Rattus norvegicus: one gene and its partners. The protein of the gene in region 3 purifies or fractionates together with the protein of the main gene of each other region. This does not show direct contact. Links are inferred from orthologs where the notes say so. Each region holds a gene or a part of one and is shown on either strand. Other genes may lie near its edges.

What was found.
Region 1: the proteins of Nepro (region 3) and Rpp25l purify together in Homo sapiens (affinity purification with mass spectrometry; 3 studies listed by BioGRID and IntAct, with this or other methods). This does not show direct contact. The link is inferred for Rattus norvegicus from reciprocal best matches to the Homo sapiens genes RMP64 and RPP25L.
Region 2: the proteins of Nepro (region 3) and Rpp30 purify together in Homo sapiens (affinity purification with mass spectrometry; 3 studies listed by BioGRID and IntAct, counting the BioPlex papers as one, with this or other methods). This does not show direct contact. The link is inferred for Rattus norvegicus from reciprocal best matches to the Homo sapiens genes RMP64 and RPP30.

The regions. Positions count from the first base shown.
Region 1 is NC_086023.1:61,673,804-61,677,255, forward strand, and holds Rpp25l (ribonuclease P protein subunit p25-like protein), read right to left. Parts: upstream 2,019-3,452; 5' UTR 1,971-2,018; exon of another isoform or gene 1,749-1,970; intron 1,366-1,748; 5' UTR 1,329-1,365; coding exon 837-1,328; 3' UTR 618-836; downstream 1-617. UniProt on the Homo sapiens protein: May be a component of ribonuclease P or MRP.
Region 2 is NC_086019.1:243,197,427-243,201,616, reverse strand, and holds the start of Rpp30 (ribonuclease P protein subunit p30), read right to left. Parts: upstream 2,905-4,190; 5' UTR 2,897-2,904; coding exon 2,815-2,896; intron 1,530-2,814; coding exon 1,474-1,529; intron 1-1,473. UniProt on the Homo sapiens protein: Component of ribonuclease P, a ribonucleoprotein complex that generates mature tRNA molecules by cleaving their 5'-ends. Also a component of the MRP ribonuclease complex, which cleaves pre-rRNA sequences.
Region 3 is NC_086029.1:69,463,758-69,466,576, forward strand, and holds the end of Nepro (nucleolus and neural progenitor protein), read right to left. Parts: coding exon 2,736-2,819; intron 1,145-2,735; coding exon 679-1,144; 3' UTR 506-678; downstream 1-505. UniProt on the Homo sapiens protein: May play a role in cortex development as part of the Notch signaling pathway. Downstream of Notch may repress the expression of proneural genes and inhibit neuronal differentiation thereby maintaining neural progenitors.

The DNA of each region.
Region 1 (3,452 bases), on a different chromosome or scaffold from region 3:
CATGTGGGAATGAGGTCTGCTCTCAGGGAAACAGCGCGTGTGTAAGCTTGAGCTTCCTTTTGTGTAGCACCGGGTGCTCAGGTGGAGGCTGAATGGCAGATGTGTGCACCTCGTTCTAAGCTTCACAGCTCTAACGAGGTAAGCACCTCACCCCCCCACTTTTTGGATGAGAGCGCTAAGACCCAGAGAAGGAACTTTTATCCAAAACCACAGAGCAGTAACTTGGGAGTAGGAGAACCAGGATCAAAACCCTGAACCGCCAAGGCTGAGTTCATGATCCCACTACACTAAAACATACGCATGCCACAGATGGGACAACTGGCTGAGTCCCAACCCAGCTTAAAGCAGGCGGCAAGAAGCCATCCAGGTTACTACTGCTAGAACTTTCATCGAGACCAGATCCGTCATCCACTGCCAGTCTCTCTGTATCCTTCCTGCTTCCAGCCTAGGAGCTCCTGGGATAAAGCCAAGCCCCACTCACACGCAGGCCAAACAAAGCGGCACAACCTTTATTTCCCTTCCCTAGTCAGAAAAGGCAAGTCAGACATACTATAGAGGCAGAGTAAGCTCTCCTCACGCAGTCTTTAACTCAGCACTGACCGGACCCACACCAGTGCTTTTTTTTTTTTTTTTTTTTTTTTGGTTCTTTTTTTCGGAGCTGGGGACCGAACCCAGGGCCTTGCGCTCACACCAGTGCTTTTAACAGTTCCACCCCTCATTCCAGAGAGGAGGGGAAGTTCTTCTGTGGACTCTGCTGGCATGGTGAGCAATCACAAGCACTTCTTAGAGAAGGCACAGATACTCAGGTCTAGAGTACAGTCAGGTCCAGCAGATCGTCAGGACCGGGTGTCCCGAGCCCTCCTTCGGGGTCTGGGACCACAGCTGGAACTAGGTATGGAGCCCAGGCCAGGAGGTGCACCTGGGGGTTGGTAGCCACATTCACTGGGGTCCAAGGGGTCCCGACTAAGCAGTACCCACACTGCAGGCACATGGCGTCGGACTGTGAGGGGGTCCAGGCCCGTGTCCGGTGAAGTTGGGACCCAGCTGTCCTCAGTTTGCAGGAAGCGAAGCTTGGTGAGCTGGTGTAGGCCCGGAACCCGCCGTTTGACAATCTCTGCACAGCTGACGGCCTTTCCAGCGGCCCGGCCGGAGCCTGAGAACACCACGTGCCTTGTGCTTCCTCCTTCCAAACGAGCCAGTGCCAGCCCTAGTAGGTTTCGGATTTTGCTCCCATCTCGGACCCGCATTTCCAGCGTGTCGGGAGGTAGCTGGGGCATTGGTGATGAGGCTGGGAGCTCTACAGAGCCAGCCCTCCGGTAGTGCTCCATTCTGCTTTCGAGCCTTTGGTGACTCTCTGGATATACACTGCGGGAAAGAGTCAGATGAGTGGCAGGAACATGATCACATGGACCATCCTCCATCACTCCCTCCAGAATGTGGTCCTGTTCCTCACCACGGAGAGTGCTTTTACACCCTCACCCCAGCACTTCAAGGCTGGGGCCGAGAATTATCTACCCCTTTCTAAATACATCCACGAGTCTCTAACATTGACAAAAACAAATTCCCAAAAACTAGGCTCTCTGGGGTAGGGTTGTGCTTCATCATCTCAAGCTCTCCGGGGCTAGGTCCCAGACCCCAGGCCCACAACTCTCTAAGAACAGGCAGGTTCTCCTCACTGGGCTTCAAGGACCCTGGGGCACAGCCATGAACCCTCACAAAGTACTCCCCAAAGAAAGGATCGGTCTCACCTACGGTGTGTGGGGGGCAGAGAAGACCTCACTCCCAGATTAACTGAGTAGGCTAGCTTGAACCGGGCCACTCGGGAACTCGCGGGTGAGGACTCCCCGGAGAGCTGCTCGGGCCACTCGTGAGCGGTTGGCGGACTCCCCGATCGTGGGCCGCTGTCCCAGGCAGCAGGTATCCCCCTTTCCCTAACTCTGAGTCCCCACTCCCTGGGATTTGGCTCTTACCACCGTTGCCAGAAGACGCTCAACCCTCACCGGGTAGCCAAGATGGCGTGCAGACCGAGAGCGCGCGGAGCCGCGGGGCCGCGCACGCAGGGGGCGGGACCTGAGGGAAACCCGGGTTGCTGTTCGACTCAGAGGAGCTGATGCTGTCACCTGGGCGGCCTCGAGCGTCAGCGCAGTGGTCCGCGGTACACACCGGCACCTGCAGAAGGCCCACCTGAGAGAGCAACAGCTATCGGAGGAGTCCTGAAGAATGCAGATTTGTGCCTTTAAAGGATGGATGGCACAGCAGCGAAGGCGACGTCCGTGGTGGGTACAAGCAGGCAAGACCCTTAGTTACGGAGTTCTGAGCTTTGTTCTCATCCTGGGACACTGATCAACCCCGGCGGTTTTCAGTAAGGTCTAAGCCATAGCTTGTGCATAACTCATTGGCCACGGAGGATTGGTTTATAAGCATGGCGGATCCGGTAGTGGGGGCAACAGATACTGGTGACCCTGGGAAGGGGCTGTACTCAACATCATCATAGCGCTTCGGCCACGGGGGCGTGCGCACAGAGCCTAGTCCAGTATCCAGGGTAAAAATAGGCCCTCCGATATTTGTCCAATGAGGTGTTAACCACCGAAACAGCAAGAATTGAGAAGAGGTGGTAGAAACTTGATAGAAACTTGTATGAAGTTTTGGGGACGCGCGGGTGACTATTCGGGTAGAATAGTTTAGGATGACTGCCAGTTTCAGATCCGTTTGGATACGCTGCATTTTGGATGCCAGCAACTCTACAGGTTGGGCTGAAGCAACTCTACAGGCAGTTGAAGGAGCTAAGGCACTCCCTCAGACCACAAGAGGGCAGCATACACCGGGTGGAGCGCGGTACTGTTTCTCCCTGTTTTCTCATCAATGTACCCTGATTTTCCTCCTCTCAAGATCCTAAAATTTCTTACATCTTGGGCTCCTCCTCTGGCTACTGGTATTATGTAGACACAAGGCAGTGCAGCCTTGGCTCTGAACGTCCATTCCTGCTCCTCCAGGACCACCTGACATGCAGGCCTACCTGGTCTTCCCCAAACCCTGTGTAGAGATTAGCTGTCCCTGCCTATGCCCTCCTTACTTACCATAGGATGTGATATTTAGAGGGTAGTTGGCAAATATAAGATAAATAAATATACAATGCCCCGCTGTATAGTCAAATGATGAGAGAACTCTATCTCTCAGCAAACCAGATCAGGGGTATAGCTCCTGGTCCCATCCCATGGGGTTGGCAGCTCTCCTCTTCACCACCCAGATCCTCACAGCCAAGCCCATCCTGTATCAGCAAGCCAACACATTGCTTTAGTGGTCTCTATGGTTTATTGTCACTGAAATAAATACATTTGACAGGGAGTACAAATCATGACCCTAAGGTAAAGCTGACCTCTGACCTCAGAGCCCCCAGTTGAACACAGACAGGTAGTATTTGAATTCAGAGGCAAAGCTGTCTCTGCCTTATA
Region 2 (4,190 bases), on a different chromosome or scaffold from region 3:
CTAAATAGCTTTACTCTTTCTTTCTTCTTTCTTAAAGAATTATTTATTTATTTTATGTATATGAGTTCACTGTAGCTGTCTTCAGACACCCCAGAAGAGGGCTTCAGGCCCCATTATAGATGGTTGTGAGCCACCATGTGGTTTCTGGGAATTGAACTCAGGACCGCTGGTAGAGCAGTCAGTGCTCTTTTTTTTTTTTTTTCCGGAGCTGGGGATCGAACCCAGGGCCTTGCGCTTCCTAGGCAAGCGCTCTACCACTGAGCTAAATCCCCAACCCCGCAGTCAGTGCTCTTAACCACTGAACCATCTCTCCAGCCTATTCTCCTTTTTTAAGGCAAGAAACTAAAGGGCAGATGCTAAGAACACCAGAGGACATGAGTAAAGGCCAGACTGTGGTGGTGCATGCCTACATGCTTTTAATTCCAGCACTCACAGAGACAGGAGGATCTCTGAGTTCAAGGTAAGTCTGGTCTCGAGAGTAAGTTCCAGGATAGCCAGGGCTATACCCAGAAACCCTGTTAGGACAAACAAAACAACCCTCAAAACAAAAAGCAATCTTGAAGACAGAAATGACATATATACAGTTGTTTGCTTAAAAAGAAATATACGTACTGACAGTCTATCAAAGAGAGAAATCAATGAGTTCATGAGACCATGGCAACAAAGTAAACAAGAAGATATACTATGCTTTCAGTTCATTTAAGAGCAATGTACTTTTAAACATCTTTGAAGGTAACATAGTTAATATGAGCTCAAAGTCAGGATTCCTTAGGCTGCATTAGAGTTTCTCATAAACAAAACAAAAGTCATTTGTATGAATATATGTTCGATTGTTCAACTGCTAAAGTAAGTAAATGCAGGGGGTTTTAAGGAATACAGCTGGTACACTGCCTTCCAAAAAGCACAAGGTGAGTGCACAAGGCCTTCCCTATAGGCCTGTAATCTCAGCACTGGGGTAGTAGAGGCAGGAGGTCATCCCTGGCAACAAAGTGAGTTCCAGACCAGAGACATGCAAGACCTTCCCTTAATAAAAAAGAAACACGCTTAGATGATTGATCCCTGACTGCCAATTAGACTGAATTAGAAATGAACATGGAAACATATCTCTGTATATTTCTATAATGGTGTTTCCACCCTGAATGGGAGCTGTGCTACATCATGGGTTGGGGGCCTGAGCGAGCGAACTAAAAGGGACAATGTGAGCAGAACCCCAGCATTCATCTCTTTCTGCTTCCTGACTGAGGAGAAACTGTGACCAGCCATCTCATGCCCCTACTGCCACGATGGGCTGTACCTTCAGAGTATAAGCAAAATAAACCCCTCCTTAAGTTGCTTTTGCAGGTATGTGGTCATAGCAACAAGAAAAGTAACTAGTACTTATACTTGTTTCTAGTTCATATTCCCAACTCCAGACATGAATATTTAGAAATACTTGTATTTAGTAACCAATTAACCCAAGAAAGTCTCCTTTACCCGTTTCTTTTCCTTAAAGTCAACAATGTGATTGATGGCAACAACTGAGTATCCCACTGAAAAATAGAAAAATAGGTTATTTAAAAAATATTCTTTCTTGTTCACAGTGATCATACTGATATGAGATTCAAGAGTATGGGATGAGGCTAGGGATGTAGCTAAGTGTTAAAATGCTTGCTTAGCATACGCAAAATCCTGGACGCAATTCTAAGACCTAGACAATAAGGGGGCGGGGCAGAAGGCAGATCTGAGCCCTACTGTTTATTGTTACTTAAGGTGGAGTTTCAGGTTCTTCATCTGTCACATGATGGTAACAGCAGACAGGAATTTCAAGTGTCATGAAAATGATGTGAAACAGCCCCAGCGTTTTAGAAGAGTACACATATTTGGCTGTGACATTTAGAAGCCAGGAACATATTTAGGCTGTGGTTTATGTTCACACAATGTTAAAAACTCAGATTTATATGTCTTTCTGTCACCTTTGACATCATTCATTCACTTCTTCTGCGATACCCTTTCTATTTCCTCTTTCCTAGGGAGCAAAGGAGGGATGACTCCCTCACACCTCTTTTGAGGTACTACTCTCTCTACACTGAGACAAGGAACACTACAGGCCTGCCTTACCATCACAACAGTTAGTGTACTGTTTGTGATACGTGCCCTCTCCCCAATGGATTTAAATCACGACTCTTATCTATTAAGTTGTCCAAATACCGACAGGATGATAGGGTATTGATATTTAAAGATAATGCATAGTAATGACAAAAACAAAAATCAAGTAACAAAAAGCAAAAAACGGTCGTTCCTCTTATCAGGCAGCCCAATAACTCCCTGCTTTCCTTCCTCTACAAGGGTTTTGAGAATCTATTATTTGGCAAGCCCTATGCCAGGTGAGAGCTCCCATGATCAATGCTCATCCTCAAGGAACTTATAATGCTCTAGAAAAATAAGGTAACACCCTTTCCATTCTCTAAGCTTCCACAGCAGTTCCTGCCCATGACCCAGCTTTCTGTATTTGACAGACGTCGTGTGACTCAAAAAGAGCCGGCTTAGGAGTGCAGTCCGTTTCTATCATTTATCAGCTCGTAGGTCCTATGCTAATCTCTCCACCCCCTGGGCCTCTGTTCTCTCCCTCTGCACGAATGACTGGGCAAACACAAGTAACAACAGTTTTGTCAAGAGCCTCTGAGTTTCTCACGCAGGGGATCCGGGTGATACTGCAGCTATAATCTGCCTCTAGAGACGTCAGGCAGATCCCACGCGAGACCCGAATAGCGCCTGAAAAAAACTACCAAACAAAGCTGGATGGTAGGGAGGACAACGCGAAGCCAGAAGACTCACGGTGAGCAGCGGTCTCCACGAGTCCGCGCAGAGCCTTCAGGTCTGAGCCCGCTCTTAGATCCAAATCTGCGAACGCCGCCATGCTGACATCCCAAGAGAACCCGCGCGCAAGTCTGCACAGCCGCTGTGTTGCCCCTCAGGCATGCTGGGAGTTTAGGTTGTTCCTTGGGCATCCTGGGATTTGTAGTTTTCCCTTCTCAGTCAGCAGAGACTTTCCTATCCCCCTAGAGCCCGCCAAAGTTAGTATGCTGATCTGAAATACATAGTCTCAAAAGCAGATAAACTGAACAAAAAATGAAGAGACATTGAAAGTTGTTTTTCTTTCCTGTTTCCACAGTACATTCCATTCTTTGAAAATGGCCGCAAAGGGTTTTTTGAAGTACTTGGTCTGTGGCTAAAGATTATCTAAACTCTTTGAGCTTTGACAATTCCTTACAGCCAACATCTACAACCACAAGATGGCAGAGTGATCTCAAAGATGATGGCTTATCGCCAGCATTCCCTTAGCGAGAGGACTGACAGGGAGGGGCAAAAATAAAAACATGTTTTACAATTTTTCATGAGAAATATAAAAATATCATTTGGTGTTTCTGCTTTAAAATGGACTCTTAAAAAACAAACTCTTCAATATTGACAGATCAATTATTCACCAACCTAAGATGGTGGCATGATTTTCAACCTACTTGACATAGAGGGCCAGTCCATTACCCCTCTTCATTCAGTCTTCGTTCCAGCATGCGAACCCTTTGCGCATTACTAATAAGCAGCTCCTACCTTGTGCAACTCAATAGGACTTCTGAACTGCTGGTCTCTCAAAGAAGAAAAGTCCACTGATCATGAGCTTGTCCATTGGGATAATACCAAAGTGCTGAAAGGTGAAGCATTTTCAGTTTCTGTACTGATCACAAACCATAGGGAGTCTTCTCTCTCTGATCACACTACTGTAACGATCTCTAGTTTCTTACAAATTTCTGAAAGATGATGATGACAACGACGACGACGACCATGATGATGATCATGTGGAGGAGGAGGAGGAGGGGGAGGGGGAGGGGGAGGGGGAGGAGGAGGGGGAGGAAGAGGAGGAGGAGGAGGAGGAGGAGGAGGAGGAGGAGGAGGAGGAGGGGGAGGCAGAGGCAGTATTATTAGTAGTCCAGGGTAGACTTGAATTCACAATCTTCTTGGCTCAGTATCCTTGGTTCTGGGATTACAGCCGAGCACAGCTGCACCTATTTTTTGATTAATTTTCAAAAATGATTGTTTCCAATACTTTTTATTTCCCCAGAGCAAAACAACAACCAAATAACTTCTGCAACTAGAGCAAGGCCATACAAAACAAACTCTTGCTTTTTTTCATCAGAGTGTCCAGTTCTAACCTT
Region 3 (2,819 bases):
ACCATGCCTGCCTGGATGCTGCCATGCTTCTACCTTGATGATAATGGACTGAACCTCTGAACCTGTAAGCCAGCCCCAATTAAATGTTGTCCTTTATAAGACTTGCCTTGGTCATGGTGTCTGTTCACAGCAGCAAAACACTAACTAGGACACCACCCCTTGGACCCAGAGGTAAAAGAACAGAACCAACTCTCAGAAGTTACCCTCCGATACCCATATTCATGTATGTTACTGTCTGATATCCACACATAAGTACGTACCCATGCACAAAATGTAAAAACCTTAAAAACATGATGTTTCTCTGCTATGCCAACCTTGTTCTGTTTACCTTCAGATACATAAGATTTTGTGAAATAATTCCAGATTTTAATGCCATAGTAGATCATAAAGTCATCTGATATTGAGAAACCTACTTGTTTCAGTCATGAAGGGTGCGTTCCCCAGGGGCAGGCCATTCATCATATTTACCACCTTGCACAGTCAAAGCCAAATACTCACCATCTGATTAACTTACACAACGCTGCTGTCAATGTTTATTGAATTGGAATGCACACACTGGAATACTGCACAGACGCAGCTCTCAGCCTAAGCAGTGTTTCCAGATCTTAGCAATACCCCTTAAAACAGCAGAACACTGGACCAGCTTGTTAACTGCTCAGAAGTTTCACCTAAGTACATCTAAACTCCCATCAAAGCAAAAATATCATCAATGTCATCTGCCTCTTGAGCGGTGCCTGGCGCACTGTGCATGTGCACCTGTCTCTTCGTCCGCAGGCCGGTTTCACTTCCACCGCCCCCTCTCAGATTCCCATGGACCCCCATCTTCTTAGCTTTTAGGTCAGGCTTTGCAAGTTTGCTCAAGACCTGCTCTCCATTCAGACAGACATCTGACCTCTGAACTGTCCCACCAGAGCATCTCTTCTTAGCACTGCTGTCCCTAGTGGTTTTCAGAGTCCCTTCAGGGACCTGCTGGGTTTCCTTTATAAGAGTTGACTGTAACTTTCTCTGTGGTTTCCTTTGTCTTGATAAAACTTTATACTTTGATCTTCTTTGTCTGGGAGGGTGCTTTGAAGTGCTGACACTGAAGCCTCGGAGAAGGCCCTTGCAAAGAGATGTTTTCATGCACTGAAGCTTCTTCGGCAAACTAAAGAACAAAAGAGAGAAATCTCAACTTATTATGATACTAAAAAGTTCTCAAGCACTTTTAACTGTCTCCACCAACTGTCAACAGAAGAGTACACAATTTATTACAAGTCCTAGGCCTGTATATATGTAAGGAAATGGGAGTTTCAACCTAAGAGCATTTTTTCAGATTCCCTCTCTGATTCAGGATACAGGCAGATGTGCCTCCATTTTGCCCTAAAGTAACTCTCATGACTGCCTAGCAAGGACACATCTGGTGTGACCTTGTTCACACTTAAGAGCCATAGCCTTTCCCTCGTGCTGATAATCTGTTTCTAGGTAAACAAGAGTGGAAATGGCAAAATATCACAAATTAAAAGCTCTGTGGTGTGTCAGAATCCACTTCTGGCTAAGCTCATGTTGTAGCAGGAAACGAACAGGGGGAAGGAATGAAAATAACGAGGGGTCATCTAGCAAAGACAAACTGACCCCTGTGAGGTGTCCTGGGAGTTGTTCTGTATCCCCTGCAGTCAGAACTTACCTCATACGTTTGGCATTTGCCTCGCACCTCATAACTGTTGGTAAAGATTAATATAGGTCTATGTGCCTAAGCCAAGTCCCTCTGCTCTTACTTTAAAGAAATAAAATTATATATTAATATATATTAATAAGCAATTTAGGACCCCGATTTCCCAGCCATGACTAGAAGCACTGACTTTGCATTGAGTAAAATGTGGGTGCATCTCTGAGTTGAAACAAAAATAATAATGGGAGGACCTGAAATAAGTCCTAGCTCTCCAGGGCCAACAGCTTGAACAAAACCATGTCTCCATGTATGAATGGGAACAATGCTGCCCACCTTCCAGAATACTGAAAACCATCTCTCCATGTATGAATGGAACAATGCTGCCCACCTTCCAGAATACTGAAAACCATCTCTCCATGTATGAATGGAACAATGCTGCCCACCTTCCAGAATACTGTGAACTCTAATGTTTTACAAAGTGTTCCATAGGAAAAAAGATGTATTACTGAAACAGCAATAGGGCAATATAGTCAACATATTTTGGGAAGTAGAGACTACCACTTAATCAACAGACCTGTTTGTTACCCCTCTTGCTAACTGTTCATCATCATGATCTGTTTCCTCACAACCCTAAACTGTTCTATCTTTGTAAGACCCACAATAAACTGAATCTCTCAATGTGAGGGGCTAAGCGACTGTTCCTGCAGCCTGTGTGGGCCTCACAGGCAGACACACTTCCCTCACATCCTCAGCCGGCTGTGCTGCTGCCGTATCTACAGAAGGCCACCGCCCACAAGAACAGAGCTCCTGAGGACTAAGGCTGCCCCATGCTGTCAGCACCAGGTTTTGAACACCAGAGGTAATCTAAGGCTTTCTGAAATGAGCCAGTGGGAATGACATGGTGTAAGGATTCCAAACAACTGTCACTTTCTCCTGACACAACTGCCCAGATAACGTTAGCAACACATGAAACTGTACTTGTCTTGTTCTAGCACCTCAAGAGCTGGGAGATTTTAAACAAGGTAGGTAATGCACATGCGTACACTTCCTCACTGAAATGGGAAAGGAATTTTTCTAATGTAATTACCTGTAACCTTGAGATTCCACATGTCTAAGCCTATTAGTCTTAAGAAGTTTGTTGCCCAGATAGATGGCCTGAGCCTTGAGCTTT